7 linked regions of the Nothobranchius furzeri genome follow. The protein of the gene in region 1 purifies or fractionates together with the protein of each later gene. This does not show direct contact. Links are inferred from orthologs where the notes say so. Each region holds a gene or a part of one and is shown in the gene's direction. Other genes may lie near its edges. The genes, in order: histone H2A.Z, mrgbp, trrap, wdr5, histone acetyltransferase KAT5, chd4b and nap1l1.

Region 1 (3,002 bases):
TGTCTCTCCATCATATATTAAGTGTGTTTTTTTTAAATACTGCCATAGATGTCAGACACTTGTTGTATGAACGTTTTAAAATTATTTAGATTCTCATTGTTTTCTAGAAATTTCAACGCTTCAGACATTATATTATTCATTTATCTTACCATACTTAACTTATTGTATTGAGGTTTGGGGAAATAAGTATAAAACAAACACTAATCCTTTGTTTCTGTTACAGACGAAAGTTTTGCGAATTCTATATAAAGCAAATCCGAGAGAACATACTAACAAATATTTTGTTCTGTCTAAAATTATGAAATTCAAAGACTTAGTTAACTTGAAAATTTTACTAATTATGTTTAAGGCTAGAAATAATTTACTGCCAACTAATCTACAAAGGTTCTTTGTTTTGATCCCAAAAAATGATAAGAGTAGATAGAAACCAGAGTTTAAAAGGATATTTGTTTGTACTACATTAAAGCAAATGTGTATTTCAATATATGGTGTGCAATTATGGAATAACCTGGATGATGAATTAAAAAAATGTACAACTACTGATCAATTTAAAAAAATGTATGAAGATAAAATGCTAAAATCGTATGATTTGGTGAGTTGAGGATGGAGGATTAATTTTTTAGTAGTGATATTATTTGTGGAAGTAAGAGAGCGGTTTATTTTTTGTGTATAAGGCTATTTTGTACTCTTTGTTATTTATCTTGTCTTAGTTAAAGGGGGTAGGTCATATAAGATTTTTTCTTCTTCCTCCCCTATTTCACTTGAATGCTTATATTCTAATTTGAAGTTTGTATATTTAAACTTTGAGTGAAATAAATTATTGAATTGAATTGAAATTGTTTGATTTAAAGTGATTGATCCTCTTTTTCTATAAGCCTGGACAAGAGTCACATATGTACCCACAGCAAACCCACTATGATTAAAAACGTTAAAACATGTGTCCTGTATCAAAGCCGCATGTGTGATGTTTGCAGGGGAAAAAATGCATCAAAATTGGTTGAGAATTCAAGGAGTTATGGTTGATTTAACATGCTCACACTTCCATGCCTCTGTCAAAGGGCTCGACCGATCCAAGATGGCAGTAGCGGGTCTGCAGCGAGCTCAGCCCCTGTTTGCGGAAATGGATATTGGCGTTTATTGGCTGAAAGTTGTAATGACGTATGATTGGCTCATATCCGTTACCCGGATAAAGACGGTTTGAGAAACGTTCAAGAAAGCGGCGTAGTGAAAGTAACTACGGCAGCTAAGAAGGCCATTAGTGTTTCGCGGCGAAGAAACTAATTGAGAAGAATTTAAAATGGTGGGTTTTATATATTGTGGAACGTGTTATGTCAACCACACAACTACGGGATGTTGATTCAGGGCATTTAATAAACCCTAGTTGTAGGGTTTATTTTGTGTTATCTGTTAGCCGTTCGTATTAGCCTCCTACTTAGCTTAGCATGCTAGCTAACACGATGGGCGCGCTCAGATAGCAGTTGTCGCATGTCTGGAAGAAGTGAGCACTTTTGTTATTTTCTTTGTGCACGTAAGCGAACGGTACTCGGTGATCAGGATGCTGGTAACTAACCGAATTTGTTTTTCAGGCTGGTGGGAAGGCTGGGAAAGACTCCGGGAAGACCAAGACAAAGGCTATTTCGCGCTCTCAGAGAGCAGGGCTTCAGGTCTGTCCAGTTCTCATTCATTGAGCTAGCATCCCTGCTGCACGTATCTAGTGTTGTTAAGATGGGAGCCCTCTCGTTGGTTCTCCCATGTGCCGTGTTTGCTAACTTGGATCTCTCTTCAGTTCCCGGTGGGCCGAATCCACAGACACCTCAAGTCCAGAACCACCAGCCACGGCAGAGTAGGAGCCACGGCCGCCGTGTACAGCGCCGCTATCCTGGAGTACCTCACTGCCGAGGTAACGCTCATTTAACTTTGACCATGGCTTGCGACATCTGGCCTTGTGCACAGAGCTAAAGTTCGACTTTCTGTCAGGTTCTTGAGTTGGCTGGAAACGCATCAAAAGACCTTAAAGTGAAACGAATTACCCCCCGCCACTTGCAGCTTGCCATCAGGGGAGACGAAGAGCTGGATTCTCTCATCAAAGCCACGATCGCTGGTGGAGGTAAAGAAATGGTTCTCCACCTGTGTTTGCGCGCTGTAAAGCTGCTCGAGGTTTTTAACGTTTTCTTTGTTTTCCAGGTGTCATTCCTCACATCCACAAGTCTTTGATTGGAAAGAAGGGCCAACAGAAAACTGTATAAAGTGGAAGTGTTGTGTGTGTTGTCTCAGGATTGAAGTCTGCATTAGGTGGTTAAATGTTTTAGATTCAAACACATTTAGGATTTTGATGGCAGAGCTTGCATTTACTCACCTGTTTGATTATTTTTTTTGTATGTGGCTTCAAAGAAGCTTTATTTTTTTTCCCTTCTGGTGCTGCAGTTTGTGTTTAAATACAGCTTTTGTGGCATTCCCATTTTAAAGTGGTGTTTTAATAAAGCCTTTTTCCTTTCTTTTTGACCCAACCGCAGTTATGTGTAATTTTTAAAGTTCTTGTGTTTCAAATGAAATTGTGTGTGTGTGTTGCATAGTCCCATCAAAAATCTATTTTCCAGGCCGGCTTGGCTCTCCACTAGAGGGCATGACAAGATCACGAGCTGAGGATCAGGAAGTTGTGCTTTTTTTTTAATTTATTTATTTATTTTTTTTTTTAGACATGGGGTTGATTCTGACAAAAGATTTGGTAAAAAGTGAATTCTGATTTCCTAACTTAATTAAAAAGGGGTAGCTTTTGTGGTAAAGCACGAAGTGACTTTAAAATAAATTTAATTGATAAATACCCAAATTTAAGCATACAAACCTGTTCAAAGCAAACATTTTGTGACATCAGCTTTTTGTTGCTGCTTGTGGCACACCAGAGTGGTTTGTAAAATACATACAGCCGAAGAGATTAAGATGGTTGAAGGAAAATGAGTCACATTTTGGCTAAAAAAATGTACTTAAACCTTTTAAATAGGCTT
Region 2 (3,953 bases), on another chromosome or scaffold:
AAAACCTCAGACGTGTGCTTGTTGAAGATCTCACCGCTGGCGCTGGAGCAGATGGGTTTATAGAGCCACTCACACGGAGCGTCGTCCCAAAGTCCGTTGTCATGCATATGAGTGCACTGTGCCTCGTACCAAATGCTGTTTGGTTCTCCAGATGACCAGTATCTGAAGTTTGTCTGTGAGTTTGTGAATAAACCTTTTTCAGCCGGCGACCACTTCCAGTTCACCACATCAAAGGACAAACCAATCCAGGCCTGTTCAGAAAGAAATTCCTTACTTCAGCTTCTAGTATTCCATAATTGAACCTGTCCTGCTTGTGGTGGTAAACTGATGGTGGGATCTCTGTTCTTTTGTTGTGATTGTTCCTCTGGTTCAAACAGGAGCCCTGAATCCCTCAGTAACAGCTCGGACCTGATGGCTGCAGACACAAACACACAGGGGCTTTGTCTAGATTAAGAAATCATAATAAAGATTGTTTTCTCCCATCAGATAATGTTAGAAACGTTTATTCTTTTGCACGAATGCTGTAATGTTAGTAAATTGCCACCAGATGGCGACAAACTTCCTGCAGAAGCAGCTTCCAATGATCGAAGAAGCATAAAGGCACAAGTATAAAAGCCTGCATGGTCAGAGTGATCGTAGATGATGATGATGGTCAAAGAGATGGTAGAGATCACATCATACATACATAGATCGCTGTACACAAAAACTACCAGACACAAGAACAGTTTCCTTCAGCCATTTCTCTCCTGAATCTGTAGATTATTTTACCATCCTTTTATTATAGGTTTTAATACTTATTCAGTATGCTTATGGATATGTGTGTGTATGTATATATGTGTGTGTGTAGATGAACATGTGTGTGGGTATACATGTTCTTATTTGTTTTTAGGTATTTTTTTTCTCATTTATTGTGGTTGTTGTATGTTTTAGAGAGCGAACATCTACCGAAGCCAAATTCCTTGTGAATTTAATTTTACTTGGCCAATAAATCTGAAATCTGAATCAGGAGCTCCTGCATGTTGGCCATTCTGTTCACGCCTTTTAGAAGCTGAAAACTCCCGCTTGCTTCCAGACTTCCTCCTTATGTTGCAGTCCCACGACTCGTGTCGTATTTATGCAAGTATGAAGAGAGTTTATGGAAAACGCGTTTGTTGTTTTTCTCCACAAACCAGTAGGTTTAACTTCAGGAAACGCTACCTGTTTATTTTGAAAAGCAGTTCCCGGAAGTGGCATCTGAGTTCCGGTTGCAGACGGCTCTCTTGTTAGCCTGTTTAGTCAGGTTTAAAGATGGGGGAAGCAGATGTAACACTGAGTCAGACCGACGACAAGCCCCCGGATTCGGGGCTGGTTCCCGGTGAGGACTCGGTGGTCTGGAGCCACGAGGTGGAGGTTTGTTTGTTCCACGCGATGATCGGACACAAACCGGTCGGTAAGAAACCGCAGCTAATGTTAGCATTTGCTAGCAACTAGCGGCCAAACCCAAACAACCAGAGGCTCCGGAACACACCAACCCAGTTAGCGTGCGCAGCTGCTGCAGATTTTCACCATTTCTGTGGGGGAATTCTGAGCTTCGGTGTAAACAGTTCAAGCAGACAATGTCACCAACCCAGCGACCGTGCTTCAGGGTTTAAAACACGGACACGGTGGCGGGTATCTGGGGCAGAACCGTCCAGAACTGCAGCTGTGTGAGACCCAGATGTGCAGAGGGCAGAACCCAAACTGGTTCAAACCAGGGATGCACTGATATCAAGTTTTTGGGCCGATACCGATACCATCATCACTGTCACATGACTAAACAATCCTCATCCCCTCACCCTCTGAAACAGATACACAAACAAGATTGAAAATATACCTGTTGTTAATATCGGCCCAGTTTTACTTATCGGACTGATACTGATATTGATGCTGATATATTGTGTATCCCTAGTTCAAACCAGAATTACTCCAATGTGTCTTAAAGTTATGGTTCTGCCTCCAAGTGGTCACCACAAAACCTCAAACTGTGTTTCCTGCGGGAGTTTCCTTCCTGGATGTAATTATTCACATTACCGTCAGGATCGACGTTTTACTTTTCACTCCAGGACTCTAGAGGGTGCTGTATCAAATACAGGCCATTTTATTGTGAAAGTGTTGAGCATACTGCCAACTACATGTTGTGTGTGACACACACACACACACACTGTGCGTAGTTGTTGTGATGGGATGTGTGTCTGGTTTCAGGTGTGAACCGTCACTTCCACATGATCTGCATCAGAGATAAATTCAGTCAGAACATTGGCCGCCAGGTGTCCTCCTCCGTCATCTGGGACCACCTGGGAACCATGTATGACATGCAGGCTCTGGTACGCACACACACACACACACACACACACACACACACACACCATCGCTGCTGAAGCTGACCCTGCTGTTTGTGTGTCGCAGCATGAATCAGAGATTCTGCCATTTCCAAACACAGAGAAGAGCTTCTCTCTACCTGATGACATCATCCAGGAAGTTAAAGGAGGTAGGTGGGAAATGCTGAGACTACAGCGCTAGTCCTCATCCATCCTTTTTCCTAAGATCAGGAGCTCTTAGACAGGTTTTTGACCCAGTTTCAGACCGGTTCTGATCAGAAGTCTTTAGTCTGGTTGTCTGGATTATGAGACTGAGGCTAAAATCATGTAGCTGGTGAGGGTTGGCTCCTATAGGAGGTCGGATCCGAGCCCGGTCACGATGTGGTCTCTTGTGGTTCCAGGAAAGCACGGATCAGAGGAGGAGACCAAGGAGGAGTTCAGGATTGAGAGAGAACCTCCTGCCACTCATGAAGAAGGTAAAGTTGTAGATGGATGAACCCAGTCAGACTTCTGACCCGGCCCTGGTCCAGATCTAGGAACAGAACCAGGCTTGGTGAACTTTGACCTTCCTAAATCACGAGCCTGGGTGTGTCAGTTTCTTGTTATTTCTCTCTGCAGGAAGTAACTCGTCTGTGAAGATGTCTGAGCGAACGAGCAGCAGCCGAGATAAGGAGAAGGAGCGCGAAAAGGAGAAGGGAGGAGGAGAAGGAGCAGCAGCAACAGGGGGAGGAGGAGCAGGTGCAGGAGGAGGTTCAAAGGAGGCAGAAAAGAGGAAGAGGAGCAGAGCGGCTGAGAAGCTGCTGTCGTCTTCCAACCCTGTGAGCCCAGGAGGTGCCAAGAGGAGGCGCACCTGAGGGCTGGACTCTGATTGGCTGCCTTACACCTGTCATGTGACCACAGCAGGAGGAGAGGATGATGGGACTTCCAGTTATATTCTGGTGATATTTTTTCAGTGTTTTTTGATGTGTGACTTCCTGCTGCCCATCGGTCCGATCGGGGGGGCGGAGATTGTTGATCCGTTCCCATCTTCCTCAGACAGAACCGGGTTCTGCTCCTCGGTCCGTGTGCTAAGGCCGGAGTCCAGGATTCAGGTCCTTTAGACCAAACCCAGGTTCTAACTTCGGATTCAACTCCCAGGATGCACCTCGGCAACAAACATCCAATCAGAGAGCTTCAAATCAGTCACATGCTCTGCTGAACAGACCGAAGACTAAACTCCTGTTTAATCTGGGACAGAACTGAACCACTTGCTGTATTTATGGGTCTGCCGTAGAACCAGAACCACAGAACCTGACGTTCTGATGGACGGAGAGCTAAGGAGCAGCAGAACCTCTCAGCTTCTGTCTGATGTTCTGCTGTTTGGATTTGACCCACTCACTACGTCTACGTCATGTTTTAGAAGCAACAGGACGATGGTTGTGATCCGTCTGCAGCCTCCTGGCCGAAATGTCAAAGGAATCCATCTGAAACCTACGGGAACCATTTCTGTCAGTGTATTTAGCAGGACCTGCTCGGGTTCTAGGTTCAGAAACCCGGTTCATGTACAGCCTGCAGAAGCTTCCAGATCCTCCATCCGGATCAGTCTGTTCCTGGACTCCAGGGAGGCAGCAGCTGATT
Region 3 (4,258 bases), on another chromosome or scaffold:
TGTTTAGTAACAAGGTCTTGTGCAGTGCTTTCCTGTTTGGAGGCCAGACAGATGTGGTGTTTGTTTCTGCAAATTAAAAAGTTTATTTCTGTCATTTTTGATGAAAACTTAAACCTTGGGAATGCTACACTGTAAAGACCCCACCCCCACCCCCGGTCTTCATGCTAGTCCCCCCCCCCCCCCCCCCCCCACACACACACTTCTAAAGACAATACTACGTCCATCCCTGTACACCAAAGGCTGCATCTCCAACCACGAGTGAAGCAAATTTGCACATGACACCACCATCATTGGACTCATCTCTGACAGGGATGAGTCTGCCTACAGAATGGAGGTCGAATGGCTGGTGTCTTGGTGGAGCCACAACAACCTGGCTGGTGCTTAACACCCAGAAGACAGTGGAGGTTGTTGTGGACTTTAGGAAGCATGGAGCCCCAATCCCTCCCAAAACCCTGTCTGACACTCCCATCACGATGGTGGACTCATGTCGCCACCTGACCCGTGTCACCTGGACACAGTCTTTTTGACTCGCTTCCATCGAGCAGGAGGCTCAGATCCATTCGGACCAGAACCTCAGGCTCTCGCCACAAGAATAGTTTCTTCCCCTCTGCTGTTGGGTTCATGAATGACAATACTAGGGCTGCCCACTCCATTCGCTTCAGTCACATGAACCAGTGATGTGTTTGTACCTGAACTGATCCACTCTGATTAGTACCTACATGGTGTGTATATAATAGCCGTTTCTGTAATTATAGCCACTTTAAACTATTTTTACTTCCTATACTTACTTATCTCTTACTTTATATTTCTTTTTGCACCAAGTACCGCAGCAATTTCCTAATGTTGTGATTTCTCGCACATATGGCAATAAAACCCTTCTGATTCGGAAGCCTCGCCATAAGTAAAATCAATCACCCTTAATGGACTGCCATCTACTGGTGAAAATATTTCACGCACAAATTCAACAGATATAGAACCATCTGTATGATTGGTCTTATAATATTACGCAGGTTATATTATGTAGTAACCTGGGAAATAGCCGCTAAAATAATGAAGCCATTAATAACAACTTTGGCTTTTAAACCTCTAATTGAACCATAAATAGTTTTCTTAATGCCCGGTTTGAGTAAAACGTTCTTACAAAATGTTTAAATGTAATGTTCTGTTTATCAATGGTGTTTACAACGTTCTTGATTATTATATATAAAAAGAAATCTAATCGATTGAGCGCAGCTACAAGGACCTAATAGAAAACAGAGGAAGACCATCGAAAATGATGGTCTTATATCTCCTGTTTTAGCTTGTATCCTTCCGCAGGTACTAGAAAAAACGTTTGGACCAGCAACATGTTTTTTTCTCTACCAAATGTCAACTTTGTCGTTCTTATGGATCTATGTGTTGTATACAAATTTTAATATACTGTAGCTAAGCCAATATAAATGACTGGAAACCCGACAGGAGGAGGGATACCTCACATCTTCGCCTGAGAGCTCGAGCGCGGCTGTTAGAGCGAGAGTACAGAGTGTTTCCTGTCGGCGCGGAACAGGCACGGGGTAGGTGCACAAGGTTAGCTCTGTCTTTTAAACTTAGGTGGAGAATGAAGTGGGTTTTTATGGCAAATTTAGTGAGCGTTATTTTGAGTGTATTTTTAAATTGAAGCTAATATCGTTTCCTGTTAGTGGGGTCTTACTCGTTTTCTCTGAAGCAGCCGTCATTGTTAAAGGCTGCAGAAGCGTTTCCTTTCTTTAGAAGACCTAGCTTATTTGCTAACGTTTAACTGTATCCTGCAAAATAGTGTGCCTAAACTTTTGTCCCTTTTCTGGAAACGAGAATGAGCGCGTCAGACGGTTAAATTACTCTTACCATTATTGCGTCCAATTTGTATATTTAGATGCTTTTTAGGATTTGGATTTCTGTTATTTTGCTAGCTGTTTCGTGCATGACGTCATCAACAAGCGTTTTGTTTCTTGATCTCCGTTACGGTTTGTCAACAAAACATTACTTTATCTTTTGTTGCCGAATTGTTCCTTTAACATATGTTTCAGTTTATGTAAAATCTAACAGTTCATAGTACTTTACTACTCTGCCACTGCTGTTGTCCTTTTAATGTCCACTTTTGAGCATTTCATTCAGAACCACTTTCAATTTCTGCAATAATCCTGTTCATGTTGTAAAAATGCATCGACAGTATTAGCCCTTTTAAAAAAACAGCGGAACAGTTTTTGCTAAGAAAAGATTTCAGATGAAGCCTGTTCCCCCAAAATAATGTTTTATTTGCCTTTACATTACTCATCATTTGTTTATTCTATTGTTTTTATATTTTATTTTATTATACAGCCAGTTTTCTACTAAGTTGCCATGCATGAATGAACATACTTAGCTTGTACTTATTTTTCTTTCATTTCCACAGTGAATCTGCGCAGACGGCTGCTCAGTCTGTCCCTGTGGCCGCCATGGCGTTTGTTCCAGCTCCCAGCCCCACGGTGGTGGACCAGACCACTCTCATGAAGAAATACCTCCAGTTTGTGGCAGCGCTCACAGATACCAACACACGTAAGTTCATTAAACTGGATGTTCATGATGAATGGCAGACATAATAAACTCACATGACATAAACCACATTCCTAAATTTATACAACCAGATAGTGAAAATGCCTCAAAATGTTGATAAACACTGCATTTTGTTAGAGAGAGTAATGGTAGTCTGGTATTGGTACTGATTTATTTATATTCTTGTGTTTGAATTTCTAAAATACCACATATAACTGTAATTATAGACAAATAATTGACTTGTGTGTACATTAAGCAAAAATAATCACACACAAACAATTATTGTGCTTTCAGTCCTGTGAAGGGCATAATGTTTACCTAACTGTAAGGCCAAAAAGATTTATGCAAATGTGTACGTTAAAATAAATTGCAGCCCTTTTTATTGGCATCCTCTGCACTAATATTTGAAGATAATATTTGATGCTTTATAGATAAAAAAGTTTTTACAAGTTCCTGTTCTTTGTGTTTTTAATGAGCTACTGTAACTGTAACCTGTGCAGTTTGTGGTTCTGTGACGTTTTAGGGGAGTAGAAGATTTTGTTTGTTGCTAAAAAGAAAGGCAAGCTTAAAAAGGAAAATCAAAGTTATTTACTTTAGCCAAAAGCCTACACATGTATGTGAATTAAAACATTATTTTATAACGTGAGTAGATTCAAGCTTTGTGCTTGGAGTGGGCAATGTGATGAGGGCGATATGCTTTAGTCCAGCCAAAGGTACGAGTGTCTGGGAGTGTGTGTGTGTGTGTGTGTGTGTGTGTGTGTGTGTGTGTGTGGTTCTTGATGTACCTTTTGATTAAGCTGGATGCTGAAAGTGAAACTGATAAGATCTGAGAGCCCACTCTAAGCACACAGACAGCTGTGAGAAGTGGATCCGCATCCTTAATGCTGTCTGATTAACGGCTACACTGTCCTTTAACTTCCAGCTGATGAAACTAAGCTGAAGATGATGCAGGAGGTCAGCGAGAACTTTGAGGTAAGTTAGATGTTTTGAGCGTGTGCTTCTGAGAGGTTTTATTGATTACTTTTTAAACACGTATGAAACGGGTTAGAAAGAGGATCAGAGTAATGTGATTTCTGATAAGTTCTACAGATCATTCTGATTTGATTTGTTGAATTACTTAATGGCATAAACTATTGTGGGCTTATCCCTTTCAGAATGTGACATCTTCACCTCAGTACTCCACCTTTTTGGAGCACATCATCCCTCGCTTCCTCACATTTCTTCAGGATGGAGAGGTGCAGTTTCTGCAAGAAAAACCTACTCAGGTATGTGACGAAAAACAAACCTCTTTGTTTTTTTTTTCTGCACTTACCGTGTCTTTATATCCACGTTCTAAAGTTCTCTAGTAATGAATAGAGTCGGTACGGAACATATTCAGACTTTCGTCAGTTTTTCACTCTTCATAATACTGCAGCCATTTGCTAAAATCAGGTAAATTCATTTTTTCATCATTAATGTACACACAGCACCCCATATTGACAGAAAAACACAGAATTTTAGAAATTTCTGCAGTTATTAAAAAAAACCAAACTGAAATATCGCATGGTTCTAATTATTCAGACCCCTTGCTGCGACACTCGTATATTTAAAAGAGCAAGTCACCCCCCTACAAGAAACTTACTCCACTCCCACTTCATGTTTGAGAAATGCAACAAATGCTGTTGCCTGGCATGCCAAGAGGGAAGAGCCACTAACACACACACACACA
Region 4 (4,296 bases), on another chromosome or scaffold:
AGCTCTGCAGAAGATGGTCGTTAATTACCTGCTGATTACAGTCAGCTGTGTTGAATCAGAGACCTCTCTAAATTTTGCCTTCTTCAAGCCAGGAGACTCGTAACCAACGTGCACGTTCAAAATATTTATAGAAAAAAAATCTGGCGGACGTGACAACGTGCACGTTAGCCACAAGAACAGAACACGAGACAAAGCTCAGTTTAAAGTTAGAAGACATTTGTCAACATGATTTCAGATTCCCGAAATAACTTGTAAAAGCTTTTCATAAGCGGTGACGCAGAAGATATCGTCAAATACTTTTCGTTTACAGTGAAAAACGTGGCGTAATGTACGAATGAGACTAAATGACTAAATAAGCGAGATGGTTTTACTCAAAATGTATTAAAATGTAGGTTTGGACAAAGCGACATGATTGGCTTTAAAACGTTTCAAATACTTATCGTGAAATAAAAACACAAGTATGCACGATGTTCGTTAGCATAAAGTTAGCTAGCTGGTTTGGTAAGGGACACTGCAGCGGATGACAACACACTTTGTGACACCGACTGTTGATATAAGTTTCGAAATACCAACTACAGGTTTTGGTTAAGTAACGTTTGCTTTAATTTGGGGCAAAATGTAGCGCCAATAAATAAGCTTGAATTAAATTATCATATAACGAAGCGAAGAAGTCCGCTTCTTTAAACACCTATTGTTGTTATGGAGGAGGCTAACCGCTAAGTAATGAGTAAAAATAAGAAAATAACAACAGAAGTGTTTACCAACTCATTTAAGAGGGCGTGTTGACATGGGAGCTTGACGCTGCACGGCTTGGAAGAAAGCTCACCGAAGCCAAAACAAACTAGTGAACACCAGAGTGCAGTGTGTTCAAAAAGAACTAGAAACTTCTTCCCCGACCTATTGCAGCCACGGCTGAAGGGACAGGTCTGGTGCTCATAGCGCCATCTGTTGAGCCGGAGAATCCAAAGCGCGTTCACAGCTGATTTATGGTAAAAGTGTGAAATCTGCATTTCACAAAATCATATTTATAATTGTGGAAAGTATTGAGCTAAAAAGTAAATGGTTAGGGTTATATAAATAAATGCAAGTGATTTACTATGAAAATATCACAGTCAGTAGTTCATAACTACATAAAGCATAAAATAAGGTTACGACGTATTAAAGATATGTAATTTGTTTGTTTTATTTAGATTTTTGTTTGCTGTGTGTTTGTTTCTGTTTCATGTAGACTTTTCCTTTTTGCATATTGATTGACTCTGACAGCCACAGCCTGGTTTTTAAATGGCTACTGCCTTTCATTGAAATTTAGATGAAGTATTTCACATAATGTACTTCTACAAATTCTCTGTTGAGAATTTTTGTCATTTTAAATTTAAAAAATACAAACTTGTAATAAATAAGATTAATTAAAACTATTGGGCTCTTTTCAAACGGCAGTCGAAACGATTTTTTCATAATTGTCCCTCATTAGTTCCCGTCACTTTTGAACGTCATGCGCCTGCGCAAACTGTAAGCACATTCCCCGCTTCACCTCGCAGCTCGTTCCTTTACCAGGCAAACATCCTCAAGCAAATAGCTTGATTTGTTCTTTGTTCTATCTCTCTTTAGTTATTATACGGACTGTTTTAGATTTCCAGGATTTGCAAGGAGTACCAGTCTGACTGTAGATCTAAATTGATCAACGTAAGTATCGGTGTAAAACCGAATCTTCATTGTTTCAATGGAGGCCCCCTTCGTGGCTGCATAACTTGTCAACAGCATCAACTGCATGTCAAAACTGCGATTAGCTTCTTCATATAACTGTGGCGTTCATGCCAAAATACATTTTATTCCGCGAGACAGCCTCTAATCTATAGATCTTCACGTTGTTTTGTTCGAAGGTAACCCAAGTATATTCAGGTGTTGAACTTTACAGCGAACGTACTCGTTCTCCCTTTGTTTGCTTTTATTTTTCGCATAAATAATAATTCGAAGCAAAAACGAGCTGGTGTCAATGCATTTGAAGGCAACACAAGATGGTAAACGGTAACCGGACAAGGGGGTTGGCCTCAATCGGTTTTCATAGTAAGAGCAATTTAACGTTAGCTAACTTCAGCTAGCTGCATTAGCTAATTTTATAGCTAAACGGACCCTAAACGGGCATTTAAATACTTTTGAGCATCACAGCCTATTAATAAGCCTAATTAAAGTAAAATTTACATGATATATACTTAATTTATCTTATTTAAAGTAAACCCCACTGTTTATTTTAGATCACAGTAAAGGAAGCTAATGCTAACAGATAAAACAATAGTTTTTAATCACGTTTACCTTAATGGTGGTTATTAGCAGTCATCGAGCTGGAGGGTTTATCTTATTTCTCCAAACTTTAAAATTCCGGGTGTTAGAAATTGTAAAATTTCCACCCAATAACTTATCCCAGTTGTTTAATCTTTAGGTTTAACTTGCCTGATTTATTAACTTTTTTTATGGTTTCTTCTTTTGTCTCAGGTGCAATAGATGCTGATTTCCTCACCATGGCAACAGAGGACAAGAAACCAGAGACTGACACCAAGCCTCCAGTTGTCCCATCAGCCTCTGCTAGCCAAAGCAAGGTCTGACAAACCCAAGTTTTGGCATTGCCTGTAATCTCCCACCCTGTCCTCTTATGATAGTTTAATTCTAAGTTTTTGTTAAGGACTGTCAATATTCCAGCATTATTTCGGATTTTTTCTTTCTTTATTGAAAGTATTTCATCATGTTTATTCATTTGCTAAATTAGAACTGGTTTTCTTTTGCAGACTGCACCTGCAAAACCAAACTACAGTTTGAAATTCACACTAGCGGGACACACTAAGGCTGTGTCCTCGGTTAAATTCAGTCCAAGTGGAGAATGGCTCGCCAGCTCGTGTAAGCATCTCATTTTGAATCATATCTTGTTTAAATCTCAGCTACCTCAACATAAATCTTCTTTCATTCCATAATAAAATGTATTGGGTTTTGTGAAACTATGTTTGATCCAGAGCTTTTTTTAAAGTTTGATAAAACACTTGTACTGCATAGATGAAGTGTATTTTGTGCTCTAAGTTAAATGTAAATAACAATAATAGCAGTGCTTTAGTGACTAAATATTCTTATGCAATTGTGAAATTTTTATTGGTTTTAGTATTTATCTTTGGGTACACTCGTTTCATTTGAATATCTGATCAGCTGAAATGATTGAAATGGGGAAATTATATATTTTTTACCATTTTGCAACTTTTCAGTCATTTTTTTTCTCTTTTTCATGATGTCTTTTTCATTGTTTGTGTTACAGCTGCTGATAAACTCATCAAAATCTGGGGCGCTTATGATGGCAAGTTTGAGAAAACCATTTCTGGACACAAACTTGTGAGTAGAAGGGACCCTTACCTGTGGCACTGTTGTGTTTCTGCCTGCAGGACTGTATTAGGTAGAGTTTCACCGCTTTTACTAAAACATCAAAGACTCCTCCCACCCTGGTCATTACTGTTTTGGACTCTTGCCGTCCAGTTGGTGCAAACAATCCCCTTCCCCACAGCAGTAAACTAAATGTACTAAAACCCTCTCATGCGCATTAGAGCAAAAACCTCAGTCACCAGTGCAATAAGTCTAATATAAAGTGAATACATTTACTGCTGCTACATATCTAGTAAACATGTACTTCTGTTTATATATTTATATCTGTTCTTTTTTTCTTCTGTTATTCCAAACACACCATTTGAGTGCCATGCAGCAGCAGAGGGTATTCACATGCAGTGAATAATAAAAACTTTGAGTCTGATCTGTTTGGTCGTTCAAAGCAAGAACAAGATTGTATTTACATTTTTAGAAGATAAACATGAGAAATGACTCCATTGTTTACTCTTGTATCATTTTATGTCCTTGAAGCCTTGAGATCTTAGAATTTCTTTATTTTCCAGGGAATATCTGATGTGGCCTGGTCATCTGACTCCAACCTTCTTGTTTCTGCGTCGGATGACAAAACTCTGAAGATCTGGGACGTTAACTCGGTAAGAATGTTTTAAGGTGTGGTTCATTGAAAAACCTTTTTTAATGATTATTTTAGTTACTCTGAGGTTTTTCATGCAGGCTGAACATGACAAAAGTCTCCTATCTTCTGGATTAGCTAGAAAATAGATGGTGAAAGTCTAGGGTTAGAAAATCCTGACAGATCCACGTTACACTGTCACTAAACATTCATGGGCTCACCCATCTTGGCTCATGACGAGGACGGCTATTGTTGGTTTAGCGTCCAGAAAACAGCATAGAACATCTCGGCTGGTAGAAGCTAACCGT
Region 5 (3,941 bases), on another chromosome or scaffold:
ATTTGACATTAATGAGGCACCAGCGTCTAAATCTACCAGAGATCTAACGAGATGACAACTTCAGGTGCAATTTTATTGTTAATTTTAACATTTTACTGGACACATGAATTTAATCAGATGCTTCTTAACAGCTCATTAAGGAGGGTAAACATGGGGGTTGTGTTCTCCAACATTTCAGTGATGTACTATTAAATTAGGAAGATTTTCTATTGCACATGTTTAGAAACTGATTAAAATCTGATCAAAATTTAAGTTTAGTTTGAATGGTTTGTCATACTTTTTTTTACAGCAGGAAACAATATGGATGTAAACTTGTGATATAGTAAAATCCATTTTGCTCCATAAGCATGTTACTTTGTAAAATTCCCTCTTTCCTAAAAGAAAACAAAACACATTATGAGTCGGCAAAGCTCTCAGCAATTACAGGAAAAACTAATAATCTCACCTCTATAATAATGTGATTAACTGCAGCATTTTTGCTCCCAACAATGGAAGACTGCTGCTCTCGTGTGGCAGATTGGTGCAAAAATACACTTGCTTCATAATGCAGTACAAACCTTTTTAACTTCACACACACACACACACACACACACACACACACACACACACACACACACACACACACACACACACACACACACACACACACACACACACAGGAAGTTGACTTACCATGTCACTTTAATTTACAAATTAACTAATTTGATCACGCAATCCAAATGTTGTTGTAATGGCTTGGGTCCGCCAGAGGGCGGAAAAATCTTTACTCTAGACAGGATCGAGTTCTCGTGTTCCGTGAAACTGACCTAAATAAAACATATAAATGCCTTATAGACTGAGTTGGTTTTCATCAATTAAATCAAACGACTAAATAAATTTTTTTTAAAGTTCACATAGATAAAAAAGTCAAATAGAACAGCATTTCTATTTTGTTACTGGTTTAGTTGTATATAGTTTTTATTGTAATTATTTGAGTGGTGTATACATTCTTTGTGAAATTCAAATACATAAATTCTCTTCCTGTTTAAAACATAATGTGTTATTACTATTAATAACTCAAGTAGTGAAGCCATTCTGTTTGCGTTGTTTGCCTCATTTAAGATAGCTCACTAACTTCCGGTGACAGGGCACAAACAACTATCTTGACGTATGTTTTCATCTTTGGCGTGGACCGGCATTTTCCCACAACACCCTGCTGCTGCACTCACAGATGACGAAAATGGTGGACAGCTCGTCTTCGGTAGGTTCTCCAGAGAAACTATGCTACTTTTTAGACATTGACCATTATTTGGTTGTAAAATAACGTTTCATCAACAACAGGTCGAAATTGTCGAAGGCTGTCGCCTACCGGTTCTTCGTAAAAACCAAGAACACGAGGACGAATGGCGTAAGTGTTGTCCGTTTGTTTCCCTGGTGCTAAGCTAATGCTAACTATCGAAGCTCAGCTGGCTGTTAGCAGACACCTCGTCTTCCAGGTAGACAAAAAAACTAAAGTGTTACTAAGATTGAGAAGGTGTGCTAATGTAGAACGCTTTTGAAGCCACTCTTTATTTTTGAGGCTTAACTGTTGAATCCTGTCTGCAGAAGCGTAATCAAATATCTTTATTAAATGTCAACAAACATTCATGTTAATCTTTATTGATTTAGAATATGAACGTTCATTTCTCGCGCAGGAATAAAAACCAACTTCAAATCGTAAGACAAAATGAAGACACTAATAATACAAATGAAATAATTAAGATTTAAAATTAAAATACCAAGTTCAACACACTAAACACTGTTATATCCAGTGTTGGGGAAAGTTACTTTTAAAAAGTAATTAGTAATAGTTACTAATTACTTTGTCAAAAAAGTAACTCACTTACTAACTGAGTTACGAGATTATAAAAGTAACTAATTACCAAGAAAAATAACTACTTATTTACTTTTTTCATTAAAGAATGCAAGAAAATGGGTTAATTGAACTTATTTACTATTAATTACTACAATAGTGAAATATAAATGACTAGTGACTGGAACATAATAAAACGTATGTCAAAATGTTTTTTGTAAACCTGAATAATTTAAATAAATAAGCACTTAACAGGAGGAACAGGAGCATTACACTTATCTAAACTATTAAAACGTCACTGTGTGATATTTAACAAGACCCCAATCAGCTAAAATTTAAAATTGCAAATAGAAACACCTGTAAAGGTTCCCGAGCCTTTAAATGGTCTCTCAGTCTAGTTAAATGACAGAAATGAATGTAAATTACAGTATTTTAACTTTTCCAACTTCACATAATTGTGTGTTATTAGTAGCATTTCTGTTGCTGGTAATCTAGTAATGGTTAAATAAATAAATAAAAATCCTTTAAAATGACAGTAGAAGAGGCACAAATCTGATGGAGGACTTACATTTACTAACGTGGGTCAGACCCAAACACAGAAGAGCTGAAGCTGGGTGGTTCTAATAACACCTGAGCTCCATGACGTTTGAGACTGATGCATCAGTGTTACAGCGGGACTAAAGACATGATCAGAAACAGGCTACAGCTGGATGATCTAGGAAGGTAGAAGATCAGGACGTCTGAGTGGTGAACAGGTGAGCGGACCTTCAGGACGTCCCGCTGTCACGTTAAAGGGCACGGCTGCAGACCCACACCTGCAGCCGTAGACTATTCATCACGTCTTCCTCGTTCTTCACGGGCCGTGATGCACTTGGATGAAAACATCTGCCTCTTTAGCTCCTGATCAGCTGATGACAGCTTCAACACACTGCGCTGCTTAACGCACACATTTCTTATACGTAACAGAAACGACATTTTGATAAAAGAAGATGGTAATTAATTAGGTTGCTCGTTACTGAAAGAAATATTTTTTTTAGTAACGCGGTTATTTTAACCGGCGTTATTCCCATCACTGCTCTGTTGAGTCTACAGCATGCAGTGACTGAGACAGTGAGGGTCTCCGCCCACCCGGCCAATCATCATCGGGTTTGTAAGTGCGTTACTGACACCTCTCTCTCCCTGGCTGCAGCTGAAGTGTGGCGGTCAGAAAGCCTCACACTGTTGCTCAACGTTCGACAAGCACATAGTAACGCACAACCTTCCATCCCCAGTAACGGTAACGGTGTTGCAACAGTGGGAAAAGTAATTAATTAGATTATTCCGTTACCCAAAAAAAGAACGCCGTTATTTTAAACGGCGTTATTCCCATCACTGTTATAGCTGCATAGAAATGCATGGAAGGGCTCTGATAAACTACAGTGTAATTAAACCTGTAGTTTAAACTAGAGGTCGACCGATATTGGTTTGATTGCCGATATGTAAAAGGTCAGCTGATGTCCGATTTGTGCAGCCGATATTTTTATGTCCGATATCTAAATATTTTCACCTTATTTTCATGCTAAAACGTCAGATAACATCAGTTGATGCACAAAATTTCTGAATCAGTTTTTTAACCAACTGTTAAATCCTAATTTTGAACACAGCTCAGTGTTAATATCAGACATTTAAATAAAAGGTAATCAAACAAATCCGTTAAGTGACGTGTCAATTATTTGATATTCAAAACTGGTAAATAAAAATAATTTTGAGTTGGAAATCATTTTTAAAGCAGTGATTAATTTGAAATACTATATTAAAATATTCTAATAAATAGCGTACTTACCCATTTTTAATAACTAGTGTCTCTCAAAACACGACGGCAAGTCTGATCTCGTAAAAACGAAAGTCATTTTCTGCTTCCTGTTCTCAAGTTCGGCCTGATGTGACTATCGCACGACTTTCCGAGAAGTGCTCAGCGGCGCATCATGTTTGACCACTTGACTTCTCAAAACCGCAATGCTTCTGCCGATTTATAAAGAACGCCAAATATTTGCCTTGTATATCGGTCTACCCCTAGTTTAAGCTGTTATTGGTTTAAAACCTAGTTTGACATCTGTAAAGAGCGCTTCAG
Region 6 (3,500 bases), on another chromosome or scaffold:
ACGTGGTTAGCACCGGTTCCCGGCAATAGCTGGAAATTATAGCTTTAATTTTTAACATAGCTTAAATTTGGTCAAAGTGGCCTTAAAAAAGCCTTCAAAGTCTTAAATTTGGCTCCCTTAAACCTGCAGATACTCAATGCTTTGCTGTGCTTTATGAATGAGCATATTTTCAGAGATTTCTTGTCATTTTCCCTGTTTTTCTCTCTAATTCTAGTTCTTTAGGCAGTTGAACAACTATTCACTGCAACACAAACTTCTGCTCACTGGAACCCCTCTTCAGAACAACCTGGAGGAGCTTTTTCACCTGCTGAACTTCTTGACTCCAGAGAGATTCAAGTTAGTTGCTTTATGTTTTGTTTTTGTGGTGAAGCTCACAGGGACAGAATTTTAATCATTTGTTCATATTTTTTGCAGTAACCTTGAAGGGTTTCTGGAGGAGTTTGCAGACATCGCCAAAGAGGACCAAATCAAGAAACTCCATGACATGTTGGGACCCCACATGCTCAGGAGGCTGAAGGCCGATGTGTTCAAACACATGCCTTCTAAAACAGAACTCATCGTTCGAGTGGAGCTGAGCCCCATGCAGAAGTAAGTAGGGTTGTCACGGTAACCGGTGTAGCGGTAAACCCCGGTAAAAAAGTTGACGATAATAATAACCGTCTTGTTTTTTAAAAAATATATTATCTCGGTGGATTACCGTGGCTGCGGTATAGGCGCGGTGACTCTTACCAGCCACCGTATCATCTGCTGAAGTTGCCGGCGGCACATGCACACTTTGTCGTCGTCTTCCTCCGCTTATCCGGGTCCGGGTCGCGGGGGCAGCATCCCAACTAGGAAGCTCCAGACTGTCCTCTCCCCGGCCACCTCCACTAGCTCCTCCGGCAGGACCCCAAGGCGTTCCCGGACCAGATTGGAGATGTAACCTCTCCAACGTGTCCTGGGTCGACCCGGGGGCCTCCTGCCGGCAGGACATGCCCGAAACACCTCCCCAGGGAGGCGTCCAGGAGACATCCTGACCAGATGCCCAAACCACCTCAACTGGCTCCTTTCGATCCGGAGGAGCAGCGGTTCTACTCCGAGTCCCTCCCGAATGTCCGAGCTCCTCACCCTATCTCTTAAGGCTGAGCCCGGCCACCCTACGGAGGAAACTCATTTCAGCCGCTTGTATCCGCAGTCTCGTTCTTTCGGTCATTACCCAAAGCTCATGACCATAGGTGAGGATTGGGACGTAGATCGACCGGTAAATCGAGAGCCTGGCTTTCTGGCTCAGCTCCCTCTTCACCACGACAGATCGGCTCAGCGTCCGCATCACTGCAGACGCCGAACCAATCCACCTGTCGATCTCCCGATCCCTCCTACCCTCACTCGTGAACAAGACCCCGAGATACTTAAACTCCTCCACTTGAGGTAGGACCTCTCCCCTGACCTGGAGTTAGCAAGCCACCCTTTTCCAGTCGAGAACCATGGTCTCAGATTTGGAGGTGCTGATCCTCATCCCAGCCGCTTCACACTCGGCCATGAACCTACCCAGCAAGAGCCGAAGATCAGAGCTGGATGAAGCTAGGAGGACCACATCATCCGCAAAAAGCAGAAACGAGATTCTCCTGCCACCAAACTCGACACACTCCACACCACGGCTGCACCTAGAAATTCTGTCCATAAAGTTAATGAACAGAACCGGTGACAAAGGGCAGCCCTGGCGGAGTCCAACCCTCTCCGGGAACAGGTCCGACTTACTACCGGCTATGCGGACCAAACTCACCCTCCTCTGGTAAAGGGACTGAATGGCCCTTAACAGAAAGCCACCCACCCCATACTACTGGATGACCCTGGGGACACGGTCATAAGCCTTCTCCAAATCCACAAAACACATGTGGATTGGTTGGGCAAACTCCCATGCCCCCTCCATCACCCTTGCAAGGGTATAGAGCTGGTCCATAGTTCCATGGCCAGGACGAAAACCACATTGCTCCTCAATCTGAGATTCAACTATCGATCGGACCCTCCTCTCCAGTACCTTGGAGTAGACCTTTCCAGGGAGGCTGAGGAGTGTGATCCCCCTATAGTTGGAACACACCCTCAGGTCACCCTTCTTAAAGATGGGGACCACCACCCCGGTCTGCCACTCCACAGGAACTGCCCCCGATGACCACGCAATGTTGTAGAGACGTGTCTACCACGACAGCCCTACAACATCCATAGCCTTGAGATACCCAGGACGAACCTCATCCGCCCCCGGGGCTCTGCCGCTGTGCAGTTGTTTGACTACCTCAGCAACTTCTGCCCCCAAGATTGGACAGTCCATCCCCAGGTCTCCCGGCTCTGGTTCCTCCTTGGAATGCGCATAGGTGGGATTGAGGAGCTCCTCAAAGTATTCCTTCCACCGTCCGACTATATCCCCAGTTGACGTCAGCAGCTCCCCATCCCCACTGTAAACAGTGTGAGCGAGTTGCTGCCTTCCTCTCCTGAGGCGCCGGACAGTTTGTTAGAACCTCTTTGGAGCCGATCGATAGTCTTTCTCCATGGCCTCACCAAACTCCTCCCACGCCCGAGATTTTGCCTCGGCAACTGCCACTGCTGCACTCCGCTTGGCTATCCGGTACCTGTCTGCTGCCTCCGGAGACCCACAGACCAGCCACGCCCTGTAGGCCTCCTTCTTCAGCCTGACGGCTCCCCGAACCTCTGGTGTCCACCAGCGGTTACGTGGGTTGCCACCACGACTGGCACCGGCCACCTTACAACCACAGCTAGCAACAGCCGCCTCAAAAATCGCAGAGTGGAACAAGGCCCACTCGGAGTCAATGTCCCCCACTGCTCTCGGGACGCGATTAAAGCTCTGCCGGAGGTGGGAGTTGAAGACCATCTTGACAGGTTCTTCTGCCAGGCGTTCCCAGCAGACCCTCACTATGCGTTTGGGTCTGCCAGGTCTACGTGGCATCTTCCCCTGCCATCTGATCCAACTCACCACCAGGTGGTGATCAGTTGACAGCTCCGCTCCTCTCTTCACTCGAGTGTCCAAAACATACGGCCGCAGATCAGATGATACGACTACAAAGTCTATCATCGACCTGCGACCTAGGCTGCCCTGGTACCAAGTATACCGATGGGCATCCTTATGTTCGAACATGGTGTTCGTTATGACCAAACTGCAGCTTGCACAGAAGTCCAATAAGGAAACACCACTCGAGTTCAGATCAGTTCCTCCCAATCACACCCCTCCAGGTCAAGCTGTCATTGCCCACGTGAGCATTGAAGTCCCCAAGCAGGACAATGGAATCCCCCGATGGAGCACTATCTAGCACTCGTCCCAGAGACTCCAAAAAGGGTGCGTACTCTGAACTGATATTTGGCCCATAAGCACAAACAACAGTCAGGACCCGTTCCCCGACCCGAAGGAGGGAAGCTACCCTCTCATCCCCCGGGGCAAACCCCAACACACAGGCAGAGAGTCTTGGGGCTAACAAAAAGCCAACCCCAGCCCTCCGCCTCTCACCCGGAGC
Region 7 (3,988 bases), on another chromosome or scaffold:
AAAGCTCTCTAAGTTAGGTTCCATCACTGCTTTCAAATCTCATCTTAAAATGCACTATTTCTCCTTGGCTTTTAACTTTTAAACCCGGTTCTGGTATTTTGTCTACAGGTTTTTCCTCCTTGCATCTTCGTTGCTTAATTTTACATTTTCTGGATTTTATGGTTCTAATTACCTGTTTGGTTTTTATTCCTTTGATTTTAACGGTACTGTCAATTTTATTGTGATTGATCAGTTGTAATACTGTGTTAAAAGTGTTCAACAAATAAAATGGTAATGTGTGGTTTACCTGATGATTAAAAAGCACTCTTTTATATGCATGTATAAATGAATAATGTAAAACAGTTTCTTGTCCGGGGATCGGACCGCCAAGGTTCCCGCCTTGGTCTGCCACCCGATCCACATTGCACCGGACCCTTCATGTTCCTCCTGCGGGTGGTGGGTCCACAGTTGGATGAGCCCATGTATCCGGTTCGGGCTGGGCCTGGCCGGGCCCCATGGGCGGATACAAGCGGCCGAAATTAGTTTCCTCCGTAGGGTAGCCGGGCTCAGCCTTAGAGATGGGGTGAGGAGCTCGGACATTCTGGAGGGACTCGGAGTAGAACCGCTGCTCCTCCGGATCGAAAGGAGCCAGTTGAGGTGGTTTGGGCATCTGGTCAGGATGCCTCCTGGACGCCTCCCCGGGGAGGTGTTTCGGGCATATCCTGCCGGCAGGAGGCCCCCGGGTCGACCCAGGACACGTTGGAGAGGTTACATCTCCAATCTTGTCCGAGAACGCCTTGGGGTCCTGCCGGAAGAGCTGGTGGAGAAGGCCGGGGAGAGGACGGTCTGGACGGAGCACCCTAGTTGGGATGCTGCCCCCGCGACCTGGACCCGGATAAGCAGAGGAAGACGACGGCAATGTAAAACAGTATGATAATTAATATATTTAAGGGAGGGGGGGATGGCACAAGCCTACCCCAAACAGGCAAGATGCTGACAAGATGCTGAGAAGATAATCCTAATTTTATAATGAAAATATAACTTTTTAAAGAACGTGCTCAAGCTCGGGTAATAACTGAAAAACATGGAGATCATAAATGGATAGAGTGATGAAGAGTAGCGTGATCATGATGGTTTTTTAACGTTTGTTCACCCACCAAGGAGGAAAATCTCGCGCCCCTCCCATGAGCGTTGCCTCGGTGACCGCCCGTTTACGTGATGACGTCGGATGTATATGAGCGCAGGCGGCGGGATCTCTCTCCCTTTTACCGCCATCGGAGCGGAGTCTCTTTTCTTCACTGCGTAGTGTCCCTCGTCTAGTCCAGTCTCCGGTCTCAGAGCGAAGGTAAGGGACGGCAGCTGGTAGTGGTTCGGACACCGACGCCCCGAACTCTCCCGTGAGCGACGAAGTTCGGGTTTAATGCTGTAGCGTAAACAAACCGGCTGAGAAGGGAAGACGGCGGTGCTCTGCTAATGCTAGCGAACCAGATAGCGGCAACAGCAGCAGCCATTGAGACTTGCTCCTCCATGATGTGTTAACCATTGACTGTTAGGTGTTAACGTTACACGCGCTTTAAAAATGGTAAAACAGCGGCCATCTTCGTGTGTCTTTAGTAGTTTTCTTTCCCGAATAATGAAGTCGTTAAAGTATAGCACCTCAGACGTTTCCCGCAACTGTCGATTGTTTGCGACATTTTGTTGACACGTGTTTCGTCATTTTTGCATTTATTGACTTGACCTCGTTTTTTTCTGTGAAGCTGATGCTTGGAGTGGGGAACGGACTGGTCAAGGCCGATGGACATTTGTGTTGCATAAGGGAGAAAACGTGTTACCGAAGAGGTGGCACCGATTTCTAAGTGGACGGTATTGTGTGGTCCTGTTCCTCCCACTGGCTCAGCTCGGGCAGTGCGCATCAAGCTAAGCGACCTGCTAGCTTAACTAGCAGGAAGTGTTGAAGCATTCAGCAGCGGACAGGCCGGCTAAAGTTTCCCCGGTGATGAGCCAGGGGCTCGGCCTGCGTTTGTAGCGACAAAGCGCTCCTTTGCTGTTCAAGCAGGTTGGCGTTTTAACTCGGGTTGATGTAGTTCCAGAATGTGGCTTCAAAACAAGAAGCGACATAGCGGGACTTGAAAATGTGTGATGGTTTGGTAGACTTCAGCATGCAACACGTGGTCGGTGGATGGAGACGAAAAGACCTAAACAAAAGAATGATTTGGACGGTCTGTTGGTCCGTGATGGTAAACGTGTGTGAACCGCACTGCCTGTGTTAACCTTTGGATTAAAGACGAGTCCATTGTTGTTGGGCTGTGGAATCATAAAATACACTTGATATTAAAATAAGTTTATTTTTGTATTTCAGATTTTAGAGTGGAGGCTCAGATTAGCACTTATTCTGAAAACGTTAATTTGTAATCAATAGTTATTTAAAATCTGAATATCCTTTCATTGAGTTTAAATTCTAATTTCTAATACAGTTATGTTCAAAAGGATGGCTACAAGTACAGAGTGCTTCCAAATGACTCGAGTTAGTCTATGAAACGCATTTTATAAAGTCTTTGAGTTATTTAAATGTTTTAGTTCTAATTAGATGTTTAAAGGTTTAAATGAACATAGCAGTGAGGCGCATATCATCTGGAGATTTAACAAGGTCAAGTCCAGTTCACTAGACATTTAATTGAAACTGGTTGAGTTCATTTTACTCTCCTATACTTGATGTTAGTTCAAGTCAGCTTAAAAAACCTTAACGCAAACCCTTCTGGTGGTTTTCAGTCCTGGTTGCACACACACAAGTCAAAGTGCCACTACATTAAGTCGTGGAGATGTGATTCAATATGTTGGCGTCTGTTCCAGATACAGATGTAGATTTTAGGTTGTATGGGATCCCCATGTCTGCCTTTGTCACTGATTTCTAGACATGGCTAAGGTGTTGAGGGGATTTGTTTTGGTGGCCTAAGGATAAAGTCTCGGCTTTCTGCAGAGGATGTGGGCCTGTTTGCTTCATCAGGCAATGATCTCCAGCTTTTGCTGGAATGGTCTTAAGCCCGATGTGAAGTAGCAGGGATGAAAATTGGTACCTCCAAATAAGAGAAAATGGTTGATAGAAATTTTGGCTGGACAGTAAATAGAAAATTGGATTTAGAGGCCTGCCAATGGGGTTTTTTCCCCCCAGACCAATGCCGATTTCTAAAGAATTTCGTTGCCAATGGCCGATATCTAAAGCCGATTATTAAGGCTGATATATACATTTTAGCAGCACATTGATTGTGAAAGAAAACTGAACACTCACTGTGTGCAATATAAATTACATAAGTCAATAAATCTCTTAATATTTATTGAACTTCAAGTATAAAACAAACACAAAACATAAAAAAAACCAATGTGTTGTGGTCCTTCGGATCCTTTCTTCAGTCTAGTAGTGGCGGCAGTTGGCCACACAGGTTTATTTATTTTTATCAGCTTTTTAAAATAATTTTGGCCGATATAGAAAAATTGAATATATTTGTTGGCCTTTAATGGAAATGAGCTATTAAAGATAGGAAGGTTGGTCACCCTGGAAGGGCTCAGAGTAGATCTGCTGCTCCTCCATATCAGCATTAAGTAACTTAATGGCACTAGTAACTTGCTGTGCTGCACATGTTTTGATTGGGCATTGGAATATTTTCATATGTAAAGAAGGCCTCTGGTATTCACTCATGTTTTGAGTTGTACAAAGGAAATTTACTTATGTCATACATATGAATGGTTTGATACATCTGTGTATCAGCCACAGAGACTCAAACAAGTCTCTGTGGCTAAGGTCCACATGTTTGCTTTAGTGCTGGTCAGGGTCCTGTTTTGTCGTTGTTATGAAGTTAAACTCCTGTTTCAGTCAAAGAGTAAAAAGTAAATTTAAGGTCATGTTTGGTGTGTCCTTGGTATGTTTTCCTTCTTTTGTTCCCCGGTGAAAAGAAACAAATAGTGTTGAACAGCACATTTTTCTCAGATGGACAAAGGAGAGAACGAGTCCGTT

Evidence for each region.
Region 2: the proteins of histone H2A.Z (region 1) and mrgbp purify together in Homo sapiens (affinity purification with mass spectrometry; 4 studies listed by BioGRID and IntAct, with this or other methods). This does not show direct contact. The link is inferred for Nothobranchius furzeri from reciprocal best matches to the Homo sapiens genes H2AZ1 and MRGBP.
Region 3: the proteins of histone H2A.Z (region 1) and trrap purify together in Homo sapiens (affinity purification with mass spectrometry; 3 studies listed by BioGRID and IntAct, with this or other methods). This does not show direct contact. The link is inferred for Nothobranchius furzeri from reciprocal best matches to the Homo sapiens genes H2AZ1 and TRRAP.
Region 4: the proteins of histone H2A.Z (region 1) and wdr5 purify together in Homo sapiens (affinity purification with mass spectrometry; 3 studies listed by BioGRID and IntAct, with this or other methods). This does not show direct contact. The link is inferred for Nothobranchius furzeri from reciprocal best matches to the Homo sapiens genes H2AZ1 and WDR5.
Region 5: the proteins of histone H2A.Z (region 1) and histone acetyltransferase KAT5 purify together in Homo sapiens (affinity purification with mass spectrometry; 6 studies listed by BioGRID and IntAct, with this or other methods). This does not show direct contact. The link is inferred for Nothobranchius furzeri from reciprocal best matches to the Homo sapiens genes H2AZ1 and KAT5.
Region 6: the proteins of histone H2A.Z (region 1) and chd4b purify together in Homo sapiens (affinity purification with mass spectrometry; 3 studies listed by BioGRID and IntAct, with this or other methods). This does not show direct contact. The link is inferred for Nothobranchius furzeri from reciprocal best matches to the Homo sapiens genes H2AZ1 and CHD4.
Region 7: the proteins of histone H2A.Z (region 1) and nap1l1 purify together in Homo sapiens (affinity purification with mass spectrometry; 3 studies listed by BioGRID and IntAct, with this or other methods). This does not show direct contact. The link is inferred for Nothobranchius furzeri from reciprocal best matches to the Homo sapiens genes H2AZ1 and NAP1L1.

The regions. Positions count from the first base shown.
Region 1 is NC_091743.1:88,106,831-88,109,832, reverse strand, and holds histone H2A.Z, read left to right. Parts: upstream 1-1,162; 5' UTR 1,163-1,297; coding exon 1,298-1,300; intron 1,301-1,586; coding exon 1,587-1,664; intron 1,665-1,786; coding exon 1,787-1,900; intron 1,901-1,977; coding exon 1,978-2,107; intron 2,108-2,184; coding exon 2,185-2,246; 3' UTR 2,247-2,502; downstream 2,503-3,002. UniProt on the Homo sapiens protein: Variant histone H2A which replaces conventional H2A in a subset of nucleosomes. Nucleosomes wrap and compact DNA into chromatin, limiting DNA accessibility to the cellular machineries which require DNA as a template.
Region 2 is NC_091755.1:46,194,091-46,198,043, forward strand, and holds the start of mrgbp (MRG/MORF4L-binding protein), read left to right. Parts: upstream 1-1,153; 5' UTR 1,154-1,287; coding exon 1,288-1,429; intron 1,430-2,220; coding exon 2,221-2,342; intron 2,343-2,424; coding exon 2,425-2,506; intron 2,507-2,737; coding exon 2,738-2,812; intron 2,813-2,954; coding exon 2,955-3,190; 3' UTR 3,191-3,953.
Region 3 is NC_091756.1:29,470,916-29,475,173, forward strand, and holds the start of trrap (transformation/transcription domain-associated protein), read left to right. Parts: upstream 1-1,458; 5' UTR 1,459-1,553; exon of another isoform or gene 1,554-1,566; intron 1,567-2,410; 5' UTR 2,411-2,453; coding exon 2,454-2,553; intron 2,554-3,472; coding exon 3,473-3,522; intron 3,523-3,704; coding exon 3,705-3,815; intron 3,816-4,258. UniProt on the Homo sapiens protein: Adapter protein, which is found in various multiprotein chromatin complexes with histone acetyltransferase activity (HAT), which gives a specific tag for epigenetic transcription activation.
Region 4 is NC_091746.1:41,695,250-41,699,545, forward strand, and holds the start of wdr5 (WD repeat-containing protein 5), read left to right. Parts: upstream 1-1,496; 5' UTR 1,497-1,683; intron 1,684-2,490; 5' UTR 2,491-2,516; coding exon 2,517-2,594; intron 2,595-2,780; coding exon 2,781-2,889; intron 2,890-3,295; coding exon 3,296-3,369; intron 3,370-3,920; coding exon 3,921-4,010; intron 4,011-4,296.
Region 5 is NC_091750.1:47,314,777-47,318,717, reverse strand, and holds the start of histone acetyltransferase KAT5, read left to right. Parts: upstream 1-1,141; 5' UTR 1,142-1,210; coding exon 1,211-1,240; intron 1,241-1,320; coding exon 1,321-1,387; intron 1,388-3,941. UniProt on the Homo sapiens protein: Catalytic subunit of the NuA4 histone acetyltransferase complex, a multiprotein complex involved in transcriptional activation of select genes principally by acetylation of nucleosomal histones H2A and H4.
Region 6 is NC_091745.1:74,018,085-74,021,584, reverse strand, and holds part of chd4b (chromodomain-helicase-DNA-binding protein 4), read left to right. Parts: intron 1-214; coding exon 215-336; intron 337-414; coding exon 415-588; intron 589-3,500. UniProt on the Homo sapiens protein: ATP-dependent chromatin-remodeling factor that binds and distorts nucleosomal DNA. Acts as a component of the histone deacetylase NuRD complex which participates in the remodeling of chromatin.
Region 7 is NC_091741.1:58,518,278-58,522,265, forward strand, and holds the start of nap1l1 (nucleosome assembly protein 1-like 1), read left to right. Parts: upstream 1-1,188; 5' UTR 1,189-1,324; intron 1,325-3,988. UniProt on the Homo sapiens protein: Histone chaperone that plays a role in the nuclear import of H2A-H2B and nucleosome assembly.